Linked DNA regions of Schizosaccharomyces pombe. Changing the gene in region 1 together with any one later gene gives a genetic interaction. Each region holds a gene or a part of one and is shown in the gene's direction. Other genes may lie near its edges. The genes, in order: cgs1 and php5.

Region 1 (5,204 bases):
TAATCCGCAAAAAGAAACTAGTCGTAGTAAAACTCATACTTCCCGAGGAGAAAATGTAGAGGATCGACCACAATCCTTACTTCAAAATGGCATTCAACCTATCATTATGCGCGATGGGAAACTTGCTTTGAACCCCGAGTTTTTCAAGAATGCAAATGGAGAGCAACAGGCTCCCAACGAGCAAGCCGTTCAAGCAATTTCACTACTCCAACAGCACATTAATAAGCAGCTAGGACCTGCCGCTGCCAACAACCCGGAGCAAGCCACAGCGATTGCGAATGCTCTCGCTGTGGCTTTAGCCCAAAAACTTCAAAAGCAGCAAACGCAAATGCAAGGGCCCCAACAAGTGCAACAACAGGCAAAGCGTCGTAAAGCTTATACTTCACAGCAACTTAATCCGGCGCCGACTGCAATGCCGCACCCTAACATAACATCACCGTCTCCTAGTATCTCAGTCACTCAACGTCCTGCAGTAAACGTTGGACCACCTCCATATGTTAGGCCATCTGCTCCTTCGAAGTTACCAGATACACGCCAGAGTATTGGAGACCCGTTACCCCCAGGAGCAATGGCTAATGTGTCCGCGGGGCCATCGTCAGTTCGATCATCGTCGTACAACTCCACTGCTTCTGAAAGCAAATCAGAGATAACAAGCCATCAAAATCTACACACCATACCAATAAACAAACCATTCACTTCTGATCGGCCTTTATACTCTTCGCCTAATGATACTTTAGAGAGAGTTGAAACAGGCAATCAAGGACAAAGGATGAATTCCATTGGAAATGCATCAAGCTTTAGTAAAAGAGATATAATGGAAAACGAAAATGGATCTTTTGATACTAATGCAAAGAACGGAAACAATGTTGACGACTCATCTTCAGTAAGGGGCATGAATTTACCATCAAACTCAAGCGACGCTTTACGAGGAGTAAAGCGACCGTTGGACGAGACATCATCCTCTTATACCTGAATTTACTAATGCTCATGCACGTAACGTTGTTGATGACTTCTTAATTAATACATTAGTGCCGAAAATTACACTTACCAGCATGCATAAGCTGTTTCATTTTTCTTTTTTTGACAGTGATTGCACAACTTGGTCTTTGGGTGGTTTCTACTTTTATTTCTCATGTGTTTAATGTTTACCTTAGTTAATACTTTACATAATAAATTGCCGTCTGGTTTTATTTCATTTAATAAGCATTTTCGTTTTCTTGTCGAAAAAGTTAATAGCAAAGCAGGAAGGGTATGGAGGATTCGCTTTTGTTATCTGTGAACATTAGCGATTCCTTATTTACGTTTTCATTGAAACCTTTGTTTAGCCAATACAGAAAGCATATTTACTTCAATGATTGTTTTTATAGCACTTTTAATAAGACCAAAACTATTATTGTTGTAATCCTGTCGGGCAAGCTCTCTGATCTGATAGACTTCAAAAGTTACATTGAATTTGTTTTGAAAACAAACAACTCATATTCAGCGATTCTAATTTCTTACTATAGATGTATATTTATCATATCACTTTTCCATAGACCGCTCACTATTCATTTCTTAACTAACTTAACTCACGGATGTACAAGAAGCTTCACAAAATAATATACCGAAACACTGGAAAACGCAAGCTATGTTGCATCGTCAAACATTCTACTCTCTATTTTTTTATGCGCTTCGATAAACCCCATATTATGGAGTCAGGGCATTGCGTAGTACATTTTATGACGTATGAGTGAGCTAATGCAGGCATCCATCCATTTTAGTCCAACGCCTCAGGTAGACTTTAAACATACATCTCAACCGTAACAAACGAAGGTAAATAACTGATTTGTATAGCTGAATTCAGCTCTTTTATTTTGGAAAATTTACCTCTTGTGGTTGATTAAAGTGTCAGGAAAAGCTGAAGCGAACAAAAACCGCGAGATTGTGATTCACTGAGAGTAAGAAACAAAAAACCGCATTTTTTGAAAGAAAGGCACGTAAACTTTAGGAGACATGTCTTTCGAAGAAGTATATGAGGAGCTAAAAGCCCTTGTTGATGAGCAAAATCCTTCAGATGTACTTCAATTTTGCTATGACTTTTTTGGAGAAAAGCTGAAAGCTGAGCGCTCAGTATTTCGTCGAGGTAAGTAGATGCTTCTGGATAGCTATGTTTAGTGGAGAGGAAAAGTAAATGATGGTCAATATGGGTTCTTTTTTGTGGTTTTTTACTTTGTTTTGCTCTATAGTAAGTATTTTCTAAATTTAGTCAGCAAACAGCAATTATGATTCCTGGCTGTTAATAATTCCACAAAGTTGTTTAAGGACCCTGTACCCATTTAATCTCCCACTCTATACTACACAAATTTTACCCTTTTTTGTTTTATCATGTTAACAAATTTCTCTTTTAGGCGACACCATTACAGAGTCTTTTAGCGACGGAGATGAAAGCGATTTCCTGTCTGAGCTCAACGATATGGTTGCTGGCCCCGAGGCAATTGGTCCGGATGCCAAATACGTTCCTGAATTGGGAGGATTAAAAGAAATGAACGTTTCATATCCGCAAAACTACAATCTGTTGCGTCGCCAATCTGTTTCCACTGAGTCGATGAATCCTAGTGCATTTGCACTAGAGACCAAACGAACCTTTCCTCCGAAGGATCCTGAAGATTTGAAAAGACTAAAGCGCTCAGTTGCTGGGAACTTTTTGTTTAAGAATTTGGATGAAGAACATTACAACGAGGTTCTGAACGCTATGACTGAAAAACGGATTGGAGAGGCTGGTGTTGCTGTCATTGTCCAAGGAGCAGTTGGAGATTACTTTTATATTGTGGAGCAAGGTGAATTCGATGTATACAAAAGGCCCGAACTAAATATTACCCCTGAAGAAGTGCTTTCGAGTGGTTATGGTAACTACATAACTACGATTTCTCCCGGTGAATATTTTGGAGAGTTGGCACTCATGTATAATGCTCCACGAGCTGCATCGGTGGTCTCCAAAACACCAAATAATGTAATTTACGCATTAGATCGTACAAGTTTCCGTCGTATCGTATTTGAAAACGCATATCGCCAGAGGATGCTGTATGAAAGCCTCCTTGAAGAAGTTCCCATTCTCTCAAGCCTTGACAAATATCAACGACAAAAAATTGCCGATGCTCTTCAGACAGTCGTGTATCAAGCCGGTAGCATCGTTATTCGACAAGGCGACATTGGTAACCAGTTTTATCTGATAGAGGATGGCGAGGCTGAAGTAGTGAAGAATGGCAAAGGCGTAGTCGTTACCCTAACCAAGGGAGATTACTTTGGTGAACTAGCTTTAATTCACGAAACAGTGAGAAATGCGACGGTACAGGCAAAAACTCGCCTGAAACTTGCTACATTTGATAAACCTACATTTAATAGACTACTTGGTAACGCGATCGATTTGATGCGTAATCAACCTCGTGCCAGGATGGGAATGGATAATGAGTATGGTGACCAATCTCTTCATAGGTCACCTCCATCAACTAAAGCATAAAATTTCTATAATCTGTTTTCTTTGAAACTATCTTTGTAATAATGACCTGTCATGATATGCTAAAGAATTTCCCTGTTGTTTGTTTGCCTTCTAACTTTTTCATATTGGTCATGCATGCATGTGATTGTTTACCATTATCCCTGGAATAATTTACTTATTCATGTTGAACATGTTTTGTTTGGATTACTTATCTAATTCAGCATTATATGTGATAATGTATATATACGTATTATTCTTTTTTATTTCTTTGAAAACCTTTATGTCTTGTTCTAGCATGGCACTGGATATGGTTTGTTAATGTTTTAATTCCAATTATATTCGTGATTACCACTTCACTGTTCTTATTTTGTTTTTTTTTTTCTTTTTGAAATTTCCTTTTTTTTTTATTATTTTTATCTGTCGAATATCGCAGCATTTGATGTTTGGAAGCTTACCGTTTAGTTTGTGTTTTTTTTTTCGTACGGATCATGACAGTTATTTTATCGTTCTCTTCATCCTGTTTTTTTTTGTTTTTTAATCGATATTTGATATCGTCAAATATTTCTATCTATATGGAGAGTTCTTATATTTGTTTTTTGAATAATCACACACTCTTCAAAACAGCAGCTGCATTCAATAATGTACTTGGCATTGGAGTAACGCACATTATACAAGAATTACCGTGGTCCGTAAACACTTGCAAGCATGAAATACTTAGAAAGCTTTAGGCAGACGCTAGACGTGGGGAAAGGGATGAAGTGTTAAAAATTCAAGAGTGTGGATGTTTTGTATGCAAACTGAGTGAGTTCTCGGTTTTTGTAGTTACGTGACATAACTTTAAAAATTTTATGAGAAATTGACTAATATCAAGAATTGAGAATAGTTTTTTAATACAATACACAAAATTTTTACCAAGTTTTGAGTAAAGGGGTGCAAATTAGATGAAACTACAGTCTGCGATAAACGATACGTGTAACTAGGAGAATGCAAATTGTGTAAAAAACTTATAAAACGAATATCTTGTTAGACAAATAAATTCAGCAAAAAGCGAAAGGACTTTTATTCAATTATCAAATCCGTACGAAATGGGATACAAAAAATTTTAAAGAATACTCAATTTCGTACATTCAATGTTCTTGCGAACATAATAAATAAAAAAACGACTACAGTTGCGAACTATGCGTAAGGTTTTCTTAAACAAGAAAAATTTTTTTCCCCATATTCCATACTACATATTTACTGTGAATGTTCTTAGTAGGGTAGGTTATTCACAACAAGCACAACGGGTAGAAATGACAATTACTGCAGAATAAAGTTAAGCACTCGAGATAAATTGTAATATTAAGAAGATGATCAGCGAAGCAATGTTTTGGTAAAGAAATGTTTTGTTTTGTGTCTTACTTTCGTCTGAATTAACTTTGTTTACATATGCATTTTTTCACTCACATAACAGGGTTTCGTATAAATTCTAGTTACGCCAAGATTTACAACTTCTACCAACCACCAAACAAGAACGCAGAGCGTGTAAAAGTAGAACAAAAATTGAGTTGAATATGACCACGAATCCCGATATTGTTAAACAGACGAAAAATGAAATTCACCAAGTAACGTCGAGAGTCCAGGAGAAGCTGGATTCGAAAAGTACCAACGCGGTCGAGCAGAATAACAATTCTTCCCAGGCGTCCGTCACCAAGGATAACAAGAAGAAGGCCGCTAAACGCGCCAAAAA
Region 2 (5,257 bases), on another chromosome or scaffold:
GACAGAAAATATGTTTCTTCTTCCTACAATGTGTAATCTTTTTAAATTGCTTCTTTCAAGTGATTTGAGGAACAATGGATTAATGTCAGTTGGGGATAATTGAGCAGGATTACTTAAAAGGATTCGAGCTACATCAAGTGAAACATTACCATGTCCAATAACTACTGCATCCTCTACCTGACTTAAATCCAACTCAAGATTTTGATTTCTGGGATCACTGTTATACCAACCCACCACTTCTCGCGCACTATAAACACCTGACAAGTCCTCCCCTGGAATTCCCAGTCTCTTGTCCCCAGCAGCTCCATAGGCAAGGACCAAACAATCATAATTTTTAGTCAAATCCCGTAAAGAAACATCAGTCCCAACGTTTACGTTACCAAGGAAGCGAAATTGTGTAGACTCAGCAATTTCGGAAAACTTGTGTTCTACATGCTACAATAGAGGTTAGCTGTATAATAAATTTAATAAGATCCATTTTTAAACCAATCAATATTTCTTGGCTTAACAGACTTACCTTAACTTCTGGATGATCTGGGGCAACTCCATAACGTACAAGCCCAAATGGAACTGGGCGGGATTCAAACATATCTATTTTGACATTTGGGTCATTTCGTAAGAGTCTGTGGGCTGTGTAAAAAGCAGCCGGCCCAGAACCGATGATGCCGACTACAGGTGAAGAAGTTTGAGTGCTATATGTTCTTTTAATGAATCGTGATAGCATCCTTTCTTAGCCTTAAGATGAAAGAAAAACAAAAAATGATTGAAATGAAGAAGTGAAGGATATCTTCGTGATTGTAAATCTGATATAAAACTAGCAGCAATTATCATTAACAACTGGACTCTCCTCAAAACGAAAAGAAAAGCTACCAATGCTTAATAAAACTGATTCATTAGTTTTAAAGCTTTAAATGTTTAATCTCAATAAACTGTTTGGTGACACCTATACAACTAGTGAATTTTATAGCATTGGATGAGTGGTCAGGTTCAAGCAGCCAAGCCTTTTGAGAGCAAAGCATTTATATGATAAGATCAGTCAGTATTTAGAAAAAGGAAATTTCTTATTAAATCAAAGGTAATTACAAACAGGAAAGTTGAATCAAACGCTACAACAGAACTTTTGCTGATCGTTGCTTACGATATTACCAGCAACAAACATCTCATATAGTAAAGTGCAAACCTTCAAATAAGTGTTTTATGTTGTTATTATGAGTGACTTAAGCAGCTTCAAACTGATTTCTGCAATGATTTTTTTATGATATTTCAAATAACTAGTTAGATGATTGTGGCTCAAATGGTTAATTTGAAAACGATATATTTAAATTTCTTAAAAATAATTAATCTCTGCTTATTCAATCATACTTATTTATAAAGATGCTAAACCTAGCTACTTGAAAGTGTTTTCTAATTCCTACTATTATAATGATAAAACAAAAAATAAGAATTTATTACATTCAAAATAATTCTATTTATAAAGGTCAATTACTCTTTCACGTTTAAAGAACTGTTGTAAGACCAACAAATTGTAACGCGGTAAGCTTTATCTTTGCGAGGACTTTAAAAAGGCGTAAGATTCAATTAACAAGGATGTATTTTAATGTAATTCCTGGATTGAAGTCAATTACTATACGTATTTTCTATTCTGTTTGCTTTAATTACTGAATAATATTTGCACATGCTATTGTTTATAGTATTATATCTACTACCGCGAAAACATTAATTATGTATATCAAATAATGAATATTTACGTGTCGTTAAAGTGTTTTAGCAATTGTAGAAACAAAGTATGTGGTACTATAAACCGGTTCCATCAATAAGTTGTGTGACAGCCAACCATCTTCTGCCAGCCACCAATAAATTCAATCGTACCGATTTTCGCTATATTGAGTGTTTTTGCACTCTATATACTTAATTAAGCCAGGTGTAATACGCTACATAGATAATTCAAGACACTTCGACGAGTTAAGGTGCTTTACTAGTGTTCTTTATTGAAGTTCTTTGTTTTAAGAAGTTAATGTGTTAGAGATACGTTAGTAACTGCACTTGTTGCTTTGTCTTACTCATTCTACGAGTTTTTCGTGAATTAAGACGATTGGTATTTATCTTTTTAGATATTGCAACTAAGCCTCGTGTTTAGCCGTTCGTGTTCCTTTCGATTGTAAAACTTTTTATTTTTTTCTTTCCGTTCCACTCTTCAACTTGACGTCAATTTGTTTTACTTCCCTGTTTCGTCTCCTGCTCACCTCTCATATAAGTTTAATTCCCCATTTTACCGGAGACTACTCCGCTCCCTTTCTATTTTATTTCTACTTATCTTGGTTACGATTTTGTTAAGCTGTACATCAAGGTATTGGAAGTTTTCTTTAATCCGCATCTTTATCGCCTCTTAATATTTAGATTTTCGATTTGAAATTCTTTAGCTTAAATTATTGTCAGTTTCTTTAACAGCTTTGTTTTTAGGAAACTGGTATTTGTTAGATCCCGGCATAGTTACAATTTTTGTCATTGTCGTTTTTTTAAACCTGTCACCAGTGAGATTGCATTGATCTCTTATCTAATTGGCAAAGGCCTTTACGTTTCCAGTTTTCTTTTTAAACTAAATTGCCTTTCTGTAGACTTTTTTTCGTTTTTCAATTAAGATTCATTGCAAAATGAATTCTATTCCTGATTCCTATTCCTTGAAACAAGGCTTTCCCGAAGGTTTAGGAGAATATGTTGATCCCTCTGGCAATCCTAATTCTCAGGTACGGATAGGTTATGGTCAAGATTCTGTTTCTCGCTTCCAACAACCAGTCCCCGATGTTGATCCAACTGCTGTCAATCACTACAACGCTAGTGCACCCATTGAGGTTGCTAGTCCATTTGATAATGTTACTCAAGGTCTTGTTGGCAGTGATGCACAAGCCCTTGCTGAATATTGGCAAAAAACCATCGATACATTGGAACATGACGATCAAGCTGTAAAAACTCTGCATCTTCCCTTAGCTCGTATTAAGGTATGCCACTTTTTCTGAATTAATTACTAACTATTGATTATGCAGAAAGTTATGAAAACTGACGATGATGTGAAGGTACGTTACTTTGAGTATTCGAATACTTTTTGACATTAACTTTTACTAATTTTTTTAGAATAAAATGATCTCGGCAGAAGCTCCTTTTCTGTTCGCTAAAGGAAGTGAGATATTTATTGCAGAGCTTACTATGAGGGCTTGGCTTCATGCCAAAAAAAATCAACGAAGGACACTACAAAGATCCGATATTGCAAATGCAGTATCAAAATCTGAAATGTATGATTTCTTAATTGATATTATATCTAAAGATAACAATAATTCCCGCGCATCTTCCAGTCAAGCTCATATGTCTGCTACTCAAGTTGCTGCTATGGGTGGTATGAATGGTTTACAACCTTTCCCCACTCAAGCTGGCTTACCCAATCAAGGGTTTCCAATGCCAACTGGTAGTCAACTTCCATTTTCAAATCAACAGTCAAGTCAGCCTTCAATGCAGTATTCCTCTCATCCATCCAGAATGCAGCAAATGCAAGATATTGATCAATCTATGTATAAACAGCAGCGTCTGGGCTCTGAATATCCACAACTACAAATGTCAGATAACTCCGGAAATGTTAACCAGATGAATATGCAAAGACCGGTCATGGTAGCACCGTACATGGCTGAGCATTTATACCGTTATCCACCTACGCATCTCGAATCTGGATCCTCAGCTTTCCGATTGCAGTCATCCCCTATGGGATATCAAATGCCCCAATTTCAAGGTAATATGCGACCTAATATGCAACAGTCTCAAATGTTTGATCCTTCTGCATATGGTATGTCAAGAAGACCTGGATCTCCTCGGCAATTCGATCAGCAACAGAGACTTTATTCACAGCCAAACGCTATGATGTATCAAACTCAGCAAGGGCGTCAGGGAAACCCAATGCATCAGCAGTTTTCCCAGCAACAAAACCCTCTTTCTCGCTATTCGCAACAACCCCAGTAATATCTTTTAATACCTGTTGATTTAGAACATGCAATTTAAATAATTTCTATTAAATTATTTGGGAGGATCCAACAGTGATGCATTTTTAGGTGGAACTTTCAATTTGTCAATTTTCGGTTTATCTACAAAAGCTTAAAGAAACAGTTGATTTTCATGACATGCTATGTCTAGTCATTGTTACTTTTTTTAAGCTATGTGTGGTTTTATTTTTTTAGCAAGACCGAAAAAGAAATGACGGAAGCTTTTCATATTTGCTGCCTCTTTATTTTCCCATTGCGGGACTGCTAGTGTAGAGTATTTTGTTTTACTTAAACATATATATGCATTTGAAATTCATTGTCGATAACATTCTACCTATTATGGATATTTACGGGTTGTCAATGTAAATAAATGATGGCATGTTGCAATCGGTTACCAAGAAGCAATTAGCTTTAAACAACGTTTAGGTTTACTTTATAATTAAATTTATTCGTATATGTACTTGAAAATTTGCACTTTTGATGATTTTTTAATTTAAAATCTCATAAATTTTAACTTCTATGTAAAAAGGTATTTAGGCTCATTATGCAAGGAAATTACAGCTGCTTTCATTCCCGACTGCATAAAAAACCACCATTCCACGGCCACCATACTCGAGGTAAAAATGAGTACGGCGGTGCGAGGCAGTTTAATTTACTCCTTCACCAGAACTACGCAGTTGATTATGAACAACAGATAGGCAGAAAGAGGAGAAACAAATTATTCTTATACTAAAGCTTAGAATTCTTTAATCTACCCCCAAACAACAACGAATGGCATCTACTAGCTTTTAAGCAACTTCTGTTCTGCAGAAAAAAACTACGTAAAAAAAGTTGCTAAAACTATCAGTTGCGACATCGCTGCTAACAAATTATCGACTAAACTTGTCGATAATAACGAATTCCCCTAGTAAGCCAAACATAACATTGAGAGGAAACGTAACGATTAAATATTAATTCAAAAAATGGTCCATGTGACTGCTTTTTTAACCGATTCGAGATAATCAGTTTTCATCAATTTAGACGACGATTTCGGCCATCAGAAATAAATCTGTGGATAAAAAGGAACCCCTTATATATCGCTAAAACCGTGACGACAAAACAGAAGTCTTTGGTTTACCACTTGTCCTTAACTGACTGCCTCTTTCATTTTCAACATCAAAATGCCTTCCATCTTATTACTTGGTTCGGGATTTGTCGCTCATCCTACTTTAGAATATTTATCTCGTCGTAAAGAA

The links.
Region 2: of cgs1 (region 1) and php5, changing one suppresses a phenotype caused by changing the other (phenotypic suppression), as found in Schizosaccharomyces pombe (one study listed by BioGRID).

Annotation. Positions count from the first base shown.
Region 1 is NC_003424.3:3,641,247-3,646,450, forward strand, and holds cgs1 (cAMP-dependent protein kinase regulatory subunit Cgs1), read left to right. Parts: upstream 1-1,782; 5' UTR 1,783-1,992; coding exon 1,993-2,122; exon of another isoform or gene 2,123-2,387; coding exon 2,388-3,496; 3' UTR 3,497-4,390; downstream 4,391-5,204. Other genes in the region: DNA-binding forkhead transcription factor for ribosomal proteins Fhl1, read left to right, coding at 1-973; SPOM_SPAC1142.09 (uncharacterized protein), read left to right, coding at 1,252-1,599; SPOM_SPAC8C9.04 (uncharacterized protein), read left to right, coding at 5,029-5,204.
Region 2 is NC_003423.3:3,393,095-3,398,351, reverse strand, and holds php5 (CCAAT-binding factor complex histone fold subunit Php5), read left to right. Parts: upstream 1-1,845; 5' UTR 1,846-2,651; coding exon 2,652-2,996; exon of another isoform or gene 2,997-3,041; coding exon 3,042-3,071; exon of another isoform or gene 3,072-3,129; coding exon 3,130-4,002; 3' UTR 4,003-4,448; downstream 4,449-5,257. Other genes in the region: mitochondrial [2Fe-2S] cluster assembly NADPH-ferredoxin reductase Arh1, read right to left, coding at 1-435, 518-724; lys9 (saccharopine dehydrogenase), read left to right, coding at 5,183-5,257. UniProt on the Schizosaccharomyces pombe protein: Component of the CCAAT-bound heteromer, php5 is essential for DNA-binding activity. It is essential for transcription activation of cyc1. It is the linchpin that binds to the subunit association domains (SAD) of php2 and php3 to bring these proteins together.